Macaca fascicularis: one gene and its partner. The protein of the gene in region 2 purifies or fractionates together with the protein of the main gene of each other region. This does not show direct contact. Links are inferred from orthologs where the notes say so. Each region holds a gene or a part of one and is shown on either strand. Other genes may lie near its edges.

Region 1 (4,376 bases), on a different chromosome or scaffold from region 2:
TTCATTCCACTGACCCATTTACTGAAGGCCTACCGTGCCAGGCACTGTTGCAGGTACAGTGAGCAACAGACAAAACCCCAGCCTCCACAGAGCTTACACTGTGGTTGCAGGGGCAAAGACTAATCAAATTAAGTATGGGCAAAATACCAGTGACTTCTATCATGGTAAGAGTCAGAGACATCTAGTTTTCCAGTTTGGAGTAATTAGGAAACTGTGAAGACAGACGCCGGCTGCAAACACATGAAAATGTTATATTCAGTGCATGCAACAAACACCTTACTTTAAATCCAATCAAAGAAGAAGGACGTGTTGGACTATGTTGGGTGAGAAGTGTTATGGAAAACTATGCAGTGGGTAAGGGGATGCGAAGCACCAGCAGAGGGGCCAGGGAGATGCTCACGGAGGTGACACCGGAGCAGACACTTGAAGGAGGCCACAGTGTGAGCCATGTGGTGTCTGGAAGAAGTGCTTTCATGCCAGGGCCAGGGAGAAAGCCCTGAGGCTGCAGTACGTCTGGGTCTGTTATTTCAAGGGTCTTGAAGAAACAACAGGAACTTACTGAGCAAAAGAAACAGCGTGTGAAGGTGGCACATCGAGGTGCTAGAGTAAGAGACGGATCAGAAAAGAAGGCAGGAGCCACAGCAAGCAGGGCCTCGGATATCAGGAAATGGGGAAACCAATGGTCCTATGGAGACGGGGCCTGGACAAGTCACCAGTGCTTTGTTGGCCAAGGCTCCTCCTGCCTTCTCCAGATGCCCCAAGCAATCCTGCCCCGCCCAGGGCCCCGCAGTACCCACCTTGCCTGACCAGCCCGCGCTCCGAGGGCTTGGAGGCATTGACACTGTGCAGCTGCTGCAGCATGTCACTGAGGTGGCAGTCGACCACCTCACCTGTCTCTCGAACCACTGGTTCTTCCTTTTCCCGGGTACGCTCAGGCAGGGGGTTCTCCAAGCCTAGAAAGGTGACAAAAACAGGGGCGTTGGGAAGGGCATAGGACTCCCCTGCCACAGCTGAAACTCTTCCAAAAGAAAAATTCTCTTAGCTACCATTGCTTTGGGGAAACTGAGTCAGTGCCTGGTTATTAGAGCAGCAGCTGCCATGCTCAGGTGACAGGCACAAGTGCTCACTGTGAGGCAACAGATCTTCAGATGCTCTGGCCTCTGACCCAACGATGTGGCCCTGCAGGATACGACCTGCCACTCAGGCAAACAGCTTGAAGGCAACAGCAGCTCAGAGCTGCCCAGCTTCGAGCAAAGAATTAAAAGCATCTTCAGCATCCAGGCAGATGGAAGGGCTGAGTAGTTCAGTTCATCCACAGAATGGATTCAGTTGGCATTTAAATAAAAACACAAGAAATTTTTTTCCACCCCAAAATTTGCTTTATATGCTTATTTATAACCAAAAAAAGCTTGAAAAGATACATGAAATTTTAACGCTGATTATATCTGGGCAGTAGAAACACAGATTATTTTTGTTGTCTTTTTCCTTATTTATTTATTCCCCCACCAACATGTGGTAATTCTCCTTGCATAATATAAAATGTTTAAGTTTTCAATTAAAAAACAATGCCATGATAGGGACTTAGGTATGAAATAATAAGATATTAGGGATTTGCTTTAAACACTCCAGCAAGGCCAGGCCTAGTGGCTCACACCTGTAATCCCAACACTGAGAGGCCAAGGCAGGTAGACTGAGCTCAGGAGTTTGAGACCAGCCTGAGCAACATGGCAAAACCCTGTCTCTACTAAAAATACAGAAACTAGCTGGACATGCTGTCCCAGCTACTTGGGAAGCTGAGGTGGGAGAGTCACTTGAACGCAGGAGGTGGAGGCTGCTCTAAGTCATGATCTTGCCACTGCACTACAGCCTGGGCAAAAAAGCAAGACTGTCTCAAATAAATAATAAATAATAATAAATAGTAAATAATAATTTTTTTAAACTCCAGTAACAAAAAAGGCAGAGGCTGGAATAAATAAAAAAAGTCTGTCCAAATGTTGATAAGTAGTAAAAATAGATGAAACATGGGACTCATCATACAGTTCTCTCCACCTTTGGGTAACTGAAAATTTCCTTAAGTTTTTAAAATGCTATATGAAAAATTAAAACTGAAAGACAAAAAGTAGGAGGCTGAGGCAGGAGGATCACTTAAGCTCAAGAGTTCGAGACCAGTGTGCGCAACAGGGCAAGACCTCATCTCTACAAAAAATTTAAAAATTGGTCAGACGTGGCACGTGCCTACAGTCCCAATTACTTGGGAGGCTGAGGGTGGAGGATCACTTGAGCCCAGGAGGTCAAAGCTACAGTGAGGTACAACTGTGCCACTGTGTTCCAGCCTGGGAAACAGAGCAAGACCCTGTCTCAAATTAAAAAAAATAAATGAAAACAGAGAAATAAGTAATCCTTTAAAATATAGCCCAAAGAATAAAATATCCATGAGTCTATTTCAGACATAACCAAATAAATAAATCAATGGGAGAGAAGGAACAGCTCTTCCTTACAGGAGAATTCCAATTATTAAATGTAGAAAAAGTAAGGAAAAGAAAAATTGCCATTAGAACATCACTGTAGGCAGGACACAGTGGCTCACGCTTGTAATCCTAACACTTTGGGAGGCAGAGGAGGATCACTTGAGGGCAGGAGTTTGAGATAAACCTGGTCAACATAGTGAGATCTTGTCTCTACAAAAAAAATTTTTTTTTTTTTTTTTTTTTGAGACAGTCTTGCTCTGTTGCCCAGGCTGGAGTGCAGAGGTGAGATCTCGGCTTACTGCAACCTCCACCTCCCGGGTTCAAGTGATTCTTGTGCCTCAGTCTCCTGAGTAGCTGAGATTACAGGTGCACACCACCATGACTGGCTAATTTTTTGTACTTAGTAGAGATGGGGTTTTGCCATGTTGCCCAGGCTGATCTCAAACTCCTGAACTCAGGCAACCCGTCCACCTCGGCTTCCCAAAGAAAAAAAATTTTAATTAGCTGGGTATAGTGGCACATGCCTGTAGTCCTAGCTACTCTGGAGGGTGAGGCACGGGGACTGTTTGAGCCCAGGATGTTGAGGCTGCAGTGAGCTATGATTGAGCCACTGCATTCCAGCCTGGGTGACAGCAAGTCCTAAGACCTGTCTCAAAAAAAATTCCACTGTAGTAGCTGCAAGGTATGTGGAAACTCTGGGGAGTTTTTTATTGTTGCAACTTTTCTGTATAAGCCTAAAATTATTCCAAAATGAAGTTTAAGAAAAACCAATGCCTAAAAATTGAAAACTGAAAAATGAACTGAAGTTGTACATCAAATTGGTGATATATCCACAGAGCAAAAAAGTATTTCAAGTGACTTTTTAAAACTATGTATCCTCGGCGCCTGTGGTCCCAGCTACTCGGGAGGCTGAGGCAGGAGAATGGCGGGAACCCGGGAGGCGGAGCTTGCAGTGAGCTGAGATCTGGCCACTGCACTCCAGCCTGGGCGACAGAGCGAGACTCCGTCTCAAAAAAAACAAAAAACAAAAAACAAAAAACAAAACAACAAAAAAACTATGTATCCTTAGTGAAATATACTTTAAAGACAATTAGAAATGCAAGAAAATAAAATATCATTTAATAACAGGAACTCATATATGTTGAAAATTTTAAGCATATTAATGTAAGGGAACAAGATTTTCAGTTTAAGAGAAAAGAAATATGAGTATAAACCAAACAAGTAAAAACAGATTAATATTGTGTCTGAATCAGACACTTAAAAATTACCAAAAGAAAAGCAGCAACTCCCCAGTGGAGGAAAAGAAAATCACTGTAAGACAGTATGTATCAATGTTAAATTTCCTGAACTTGGGAATTGTGCCAGGTATTATTGTTATGTAAAAGAATCTGTTTGTAGGAAGCATACACTGAAGCATTAAGGGTAAAGGGTAGGACGTATACAACTTTTGAATGTTCAGAAAAAAGAGGGCAATTGATAAATGCGAAAAAAAGTGTTAACTGGTGAATCTGGGCAAAAGGGGAGAATGGGAGTGTCTTTTTGGTCTCTGCTACGTTTTTCATAAGCTTACAATAATATAAAAAAATGTTTAAAAATGTGTGATTTGGAAATACCAACACAGACTCAATGTCAGTCTTTCCCCACTGCCACAAATGCAGTTCCTAATTCTGTTCTCTGAAGAGACCTAGAAGCAATGACAACCTAAGCAATGGCATGTGGTTTTTTGATTTTTAAGAAAATGTCCATCTTTTTTAAGAGAAGTATTCTGAAGTTTATGTATAAAAATGGCAAAGTGCCTGGGGTTAACTTTAAAAAATACTTCAAAGAAACAAAAATAAATGAATGAAGCAAACTTGACAAAATCCTGATAACTAATTATTGAATCTGGTAAGTATGAGGGAATCCATT
Region 2 (4,376 bases):
GCAAACAAACACAGCTGAACAGAATGAACCTCGTCTCCTCCCAAAAGAAGAAAAGGCCTGGTGAAGAGGGGAGCACTGAGGACTCTGGGTGGGGCCGAGTGCTAGGACTGCCGAATCTGCAGATGCATCAGCCATCAAGAACTGGGTGAAGAAGTGCAGTGTGGGCCTGGGCTCAGCTGGGAGACGGATACACAGGTTGTGTGCAGTGACTCTGGAGTGGAAAGACAGGCCTCAGGGTTCCAGAAAGTGAGAGAGAAGTGACCCAAATGGAATGAGAATTCTGTATGTCAGCTGCTCCAGTGGGCCTGTCAATCCAAACCTGCCTGCCACTTAGTTAAAGCTGAGTGCTTTCCAGATGCCCGCCCTCTTTTTGGAAGGACTCTCTGGGAACATGAGAAACTCATTAGCATGAAGGAAAAGCCAAGTCACTCTGAACTGAAAGTCATTGGATGTGCCCGCCTTTAATGCACGCTGACCACTTGAGAGCCAGGCTCACAATTGTACTTGAGCTGCCTGAATCAACTCTACCCAGAGAAGAAAGCATCTCCTTGAGAACCTCCCCTCTGGAACCCCTTTCCAGCCACCAACCCCCATCAGAGCTAACTCCTCAACAGTGCTAGAAACCAGTCCCTTCTCTCCATTTCTACTGCCAGCATCTGCCACAGGGTGGGGTATAAATATTTGTTTAAAAAGAACTGAACCTTCAAAGTCATAGCCTACATCTGGAAGGGCTAATACTTTGCAGTTACTAAGGTAGAATAGGCACTAAAATCTGACAGGAATAACTTGGCATTGCCCTACAGATGTCATTCTGCCCACGGGTTCAAGCCCTTCTGAAGACTTATGATCCTGTGTCTGAGAGATCTGACCAACCATGTAGTGCATGCTAAGTCTCTTCCTTTCCAACGGCCTCAATAGGACATCTGTGGAAAGTAAGCAAAGCAGAAAACAGGCAGGCTGCCATTGCTGTGGCAGAGGCTCATCTCCAGCCTCTCTTAACAGGGTTACTCTGGACCTTTCCAATCCTTATAACAACCTGTACCAATCACCATGCTCTTGGCACAAAAGGCACCCAGCCTTAGTGTGCCCTGTCTCCTTAGGCAGCTATGGAGGAATACCACAGCCTACTCACCACCTCATCCCCAAAGTCTCCATTAAAGTGTAGGGAGCTGGTCAGGTACTGGCTCTCCAGGCGACTCTTCAGCTCCTGGACTTGTTTCTTCAAAGTTTCTACTTCCTGCTGGTGGCCTGACTCAATCTGACGCAGGCGCTGTTGGATTGTGTCTGTGTACACTGACATGCCATCATCATCCAGGTGGCTGCGGGAAGGCTGGTCGGGGCTACTGGTTGCAGATGGCCTCCCTGAGTGGCTATGGAGCCACTTGTGGTGCAAGTTCCTTGAGTGTAAGTGGGCAGAGCTGCAGCTCATAGCAGAGAGCTGACGGCTCAGTGAGTCCTTGCTCCTACCAGCCTCCCCATTGGCGAAATGCCCATTGGGTGTGGCGTACATCTGGAGGGTGCTAAGACCTGGGGGCTGCTCTGAGGCCCTGTTTTCAGTCTCTGGGGCACCGTTGCACACAAGCCCCTCTTTACATTCAGCTAAAGGCAAGGCACAAGGGGAACGTGTCAGGCTGAGAGTGCTGCCAGGGGAAGTCCTATGCACCACAGACCCCACTTGGGGCCTCTCAACCAGGCTTGTCTCTGAAGGGCTGGGTTCCATGGTCTGGGGAAGCCTGTCCTTGCCACTATTAACAAGGCAAGGTCTATGATGGACTTGGGGCCCACTTCCTGATTCCACCTTATCTTCCACTAACATGTCTGTAGAACTGTCCACATTTGGTCCTCTGGTCTCAAAAGGGACTTGGGAAGGTAGCAGAGAACATGATTGTGAGGTACCATAGCCAACTTTTGCATCTACTGGGATTGGAAGAACTGCTTCCTCCCTACTCTCTGCCTTCTCTTCTATTCGAAACTGCTCCACAGGGACCTCCAGGGAATCCTCATCCCTCGGGGGGAACTGGAGAGAACTGAGGAGAACACTGAGCCCACCCTGCTGTTCAGAAATACCCTGTGAAAACAGAGGCCGGCTCATGTCCAGATGGCTCCTCAGAGCAGCATCACCCAGTTCTAGGTCTTGGTGAAGTCCAATGGCTGAGGCCTCAGGCGTCTTCCTCCTGCTCTCCTTTTCTAAGAGAGGGTTCTCTTTATCCTCCTGCATCTCAATGCCTGCCCTGTGGGCAGGCTCCTCTACTCCACTCTCCTCTTTGGTGGCCTCCTGCAAGATGTTCTCCATCTGCCCCTCGGCTACTCCAGCTGCAACGGAAAGCTCGGCACCCCCCGGCACTCTGGTGGGCTTCCCTAGGCTGTCGGCAGAAAGGGGATCCTCTCCAGGGCCAGCCAGGCTGCTCAGCTCTAGCGAGCGCCGGTGTTCCTGCCACTTCTCGTTCAGGCTGGGGTCGCTGCAGCGCCGGCTGGCTAGAGGCACTGTGTTGTCACAGGCTGTGCTCAGATTGTCATACGATCTAGTCTTTGGTAGCCTACAGGAAAGAAATTTGGGGGAAATGAAAATCTTGGAAGCTGTCTGGAGGGAAGTAGGAGACAATAGGTTTTAACAAGCAGTTGCTTTATAACTGGGTCCGTTACAGCTACTCATGGAGCTATAGCATCTCTGGAGCGAGGCCCAGACTGCTGGAGCGGCAAAGCTCCGGAACAAGTCCTCCTCCTAGTGTGCAGATTTCCTTTCACCCTCCCCCAACCCCATGCCCCATACATACAAATGAGCTAACAGCAAATGCTTTTTTTTTTTTTTTTTTTTTTTTTTTTGAGACGGACTCTCACTCTGTCACCCAGGCTGGAGTGCAGTGGCGCAATCTCAGCTCACTACAACCTCCTCCTCCCAGGTTCAAGCGATTCTGCCTCAGCCTCCCGAGTAGCTGGGATTATAGGTACCTGCCACCACGGCCAGCTAATTTTTGTTGTATTTTCAGTAGAGATGGGAGTTTCACCATTTTGGCCAGGCTGGTCTTGAACTCCTTATCCCAGGTGATTTGCCCACTTTGGCCTCCCAAAGTGCTGGGATTACAGGCGTGAGCCACTGTGCCCAGCCTGCAAATGCTATTTCCAAAACACATTCTTCATGATGCTGCTGTGTTTCTCAGTGGGTGGCAAAGTAGCACTGGTGTTTCTTGATATTACAGTATTTTAAATTAATGCGTTATCTATCAGTCTGTATTTAATAAAGCTAACTCTCAAGTGACAGAGCCAAATTTTTTTTTTTTTCTTTTTTTTTTTTTTTTTCTTTTTCCTGAGACAGGTCTTGCCCTGTCATCCAGGCTGGAGTGCAATGGATCTTGGATCATTGCAACCTCCACCTCCCAGGCTCAAGCGATCCTCCTGCCTCAACCTCCCAAGTAGCTGGGACTACAGATATGTGCCACCACGCTTGGTTAGTTTTTGCATTTTGGGTAGAAACGGGGTTTCACCATGTTGCCTAGGCTGGTCTGGAACTCCTGGGCTCAAGTGATCCTCCCGCCTTGGCCTCCCAAAGTGCTGGGATTACAGGCATGAGCCACCAAGCCTGGCCCCAAAGCAAAATTTTCTGTCATCTGACAGCATCTGCCTTTTACGCCTCAGAAGACAAATCATGGCAAATAGGCAGGGGCACAGAGCACTGGGGAAAACACAAACCAGGGGGTCACAGAAAACCTGGAGGATTTGCTCTATCACTGAGGAGCTGCTCAGTGCATGCAAAACAACATGAAGCAACAGGGCCCAACTCACTCCCAGAAACAAGGCTCTTACAGCCTTGTAACCCAGAAATCCCTATAACTTCCCTGAAAAAACTGCAGAGATCTAAGAAAGATATTGTGGAGGCAGATAACATTATGATCTCTAACCATCCCTGGACATGTCCCAACACAGGAATACACCACACAGGCTGTCAGGCCCGTGGCATCACCCTGGGCTCACCGGCTCAGGGGTGGATCATCAGGGCTGGTGCCTGGGGCTGGGTATGGTGCACAGCTGTCATCCACAGGGGTGGTTGGGGATGGGCAGGGCAGGTACACTGCACTCCACAGCATCAGGTTACGCACATGGCACACAGGGTACAGCACCTGAGGAGGGGGGAGGACACAGGTTTAAATAGGTCCCAATAAGTCTTCTAGGATGTCTGGAAATGAGGATCAAGAGCAAGCACCCAGCTGGAATACCAAACAGGGCTGACCGGATCTCCACAAAGCAGCAGCACCAATGGATACAGGTCTATCCCAAGAGGACCAATACAGGACTAGACATTTTACATGGCCAATATTTTTCACCTAAGAGCCTCTTGAGAGCATGAAAATCTAAAATATTTTTTTAGATCCCTTTCTCAT

Evidence for each region. The genes of interacting proteins can lie anywhere in the genome.
Region 1: the proteins of MTMR3 (region 2) and PLK1 purify together in Homo sapiens (affinity purification with mass spectrometry; 4 studies listed by BioGRID and IntAct, with this or other methods). This does not show direct contact. The link is inferred for Macaca fascicularis from reciprocal best matches to the Homo sapiens genes MTMR3 and PLK1.

The regions. Positions count from the first base shown.
Region 1 is NC_088394.1:22,754,691-22,759,066, reverse strand, and holds part of PLK1 (serine/threonine-protein kinase PLK1), read right to left. Parts: intron 954-4,376; coding exon 798-953; intron 1-797. UniProt on the Homo sapiens protein: Serine/threonine-protein kinase that performs several important functions throughout M phase of the cell cycle, including the regulation of centrosome maturation and spindle assembly, the removal of cohesins from chromosome arms, the inactivation of anaphase-promoting complex/cyclosome (APC/C) inhibitors, and the regulation of mitotic exit and cytokinesis.
Region 2 is NC_088384.1:21,642,041-21,646,416, forward strand, and holds part of MTMR3 (phosphatidylinositol-3,5-bisphosphate 3-phosphatase MTMR3), read right to left. Parts: intron 4,116-4,376; coding exon 3,970-4,115; intron 2,538-3,969; coding exon 1,133-2,537; intron 1-1,132. UniProt on the Homo sapiens protein: Lipid phosphatase that specifically dephosphorylates the D-3 position of phosphatidylinositol 3-phosphate and phosphatidylinositol 3,5-bisphosphate, generating phosphatidylinositol and phosphatidylinositol 5-phosphate.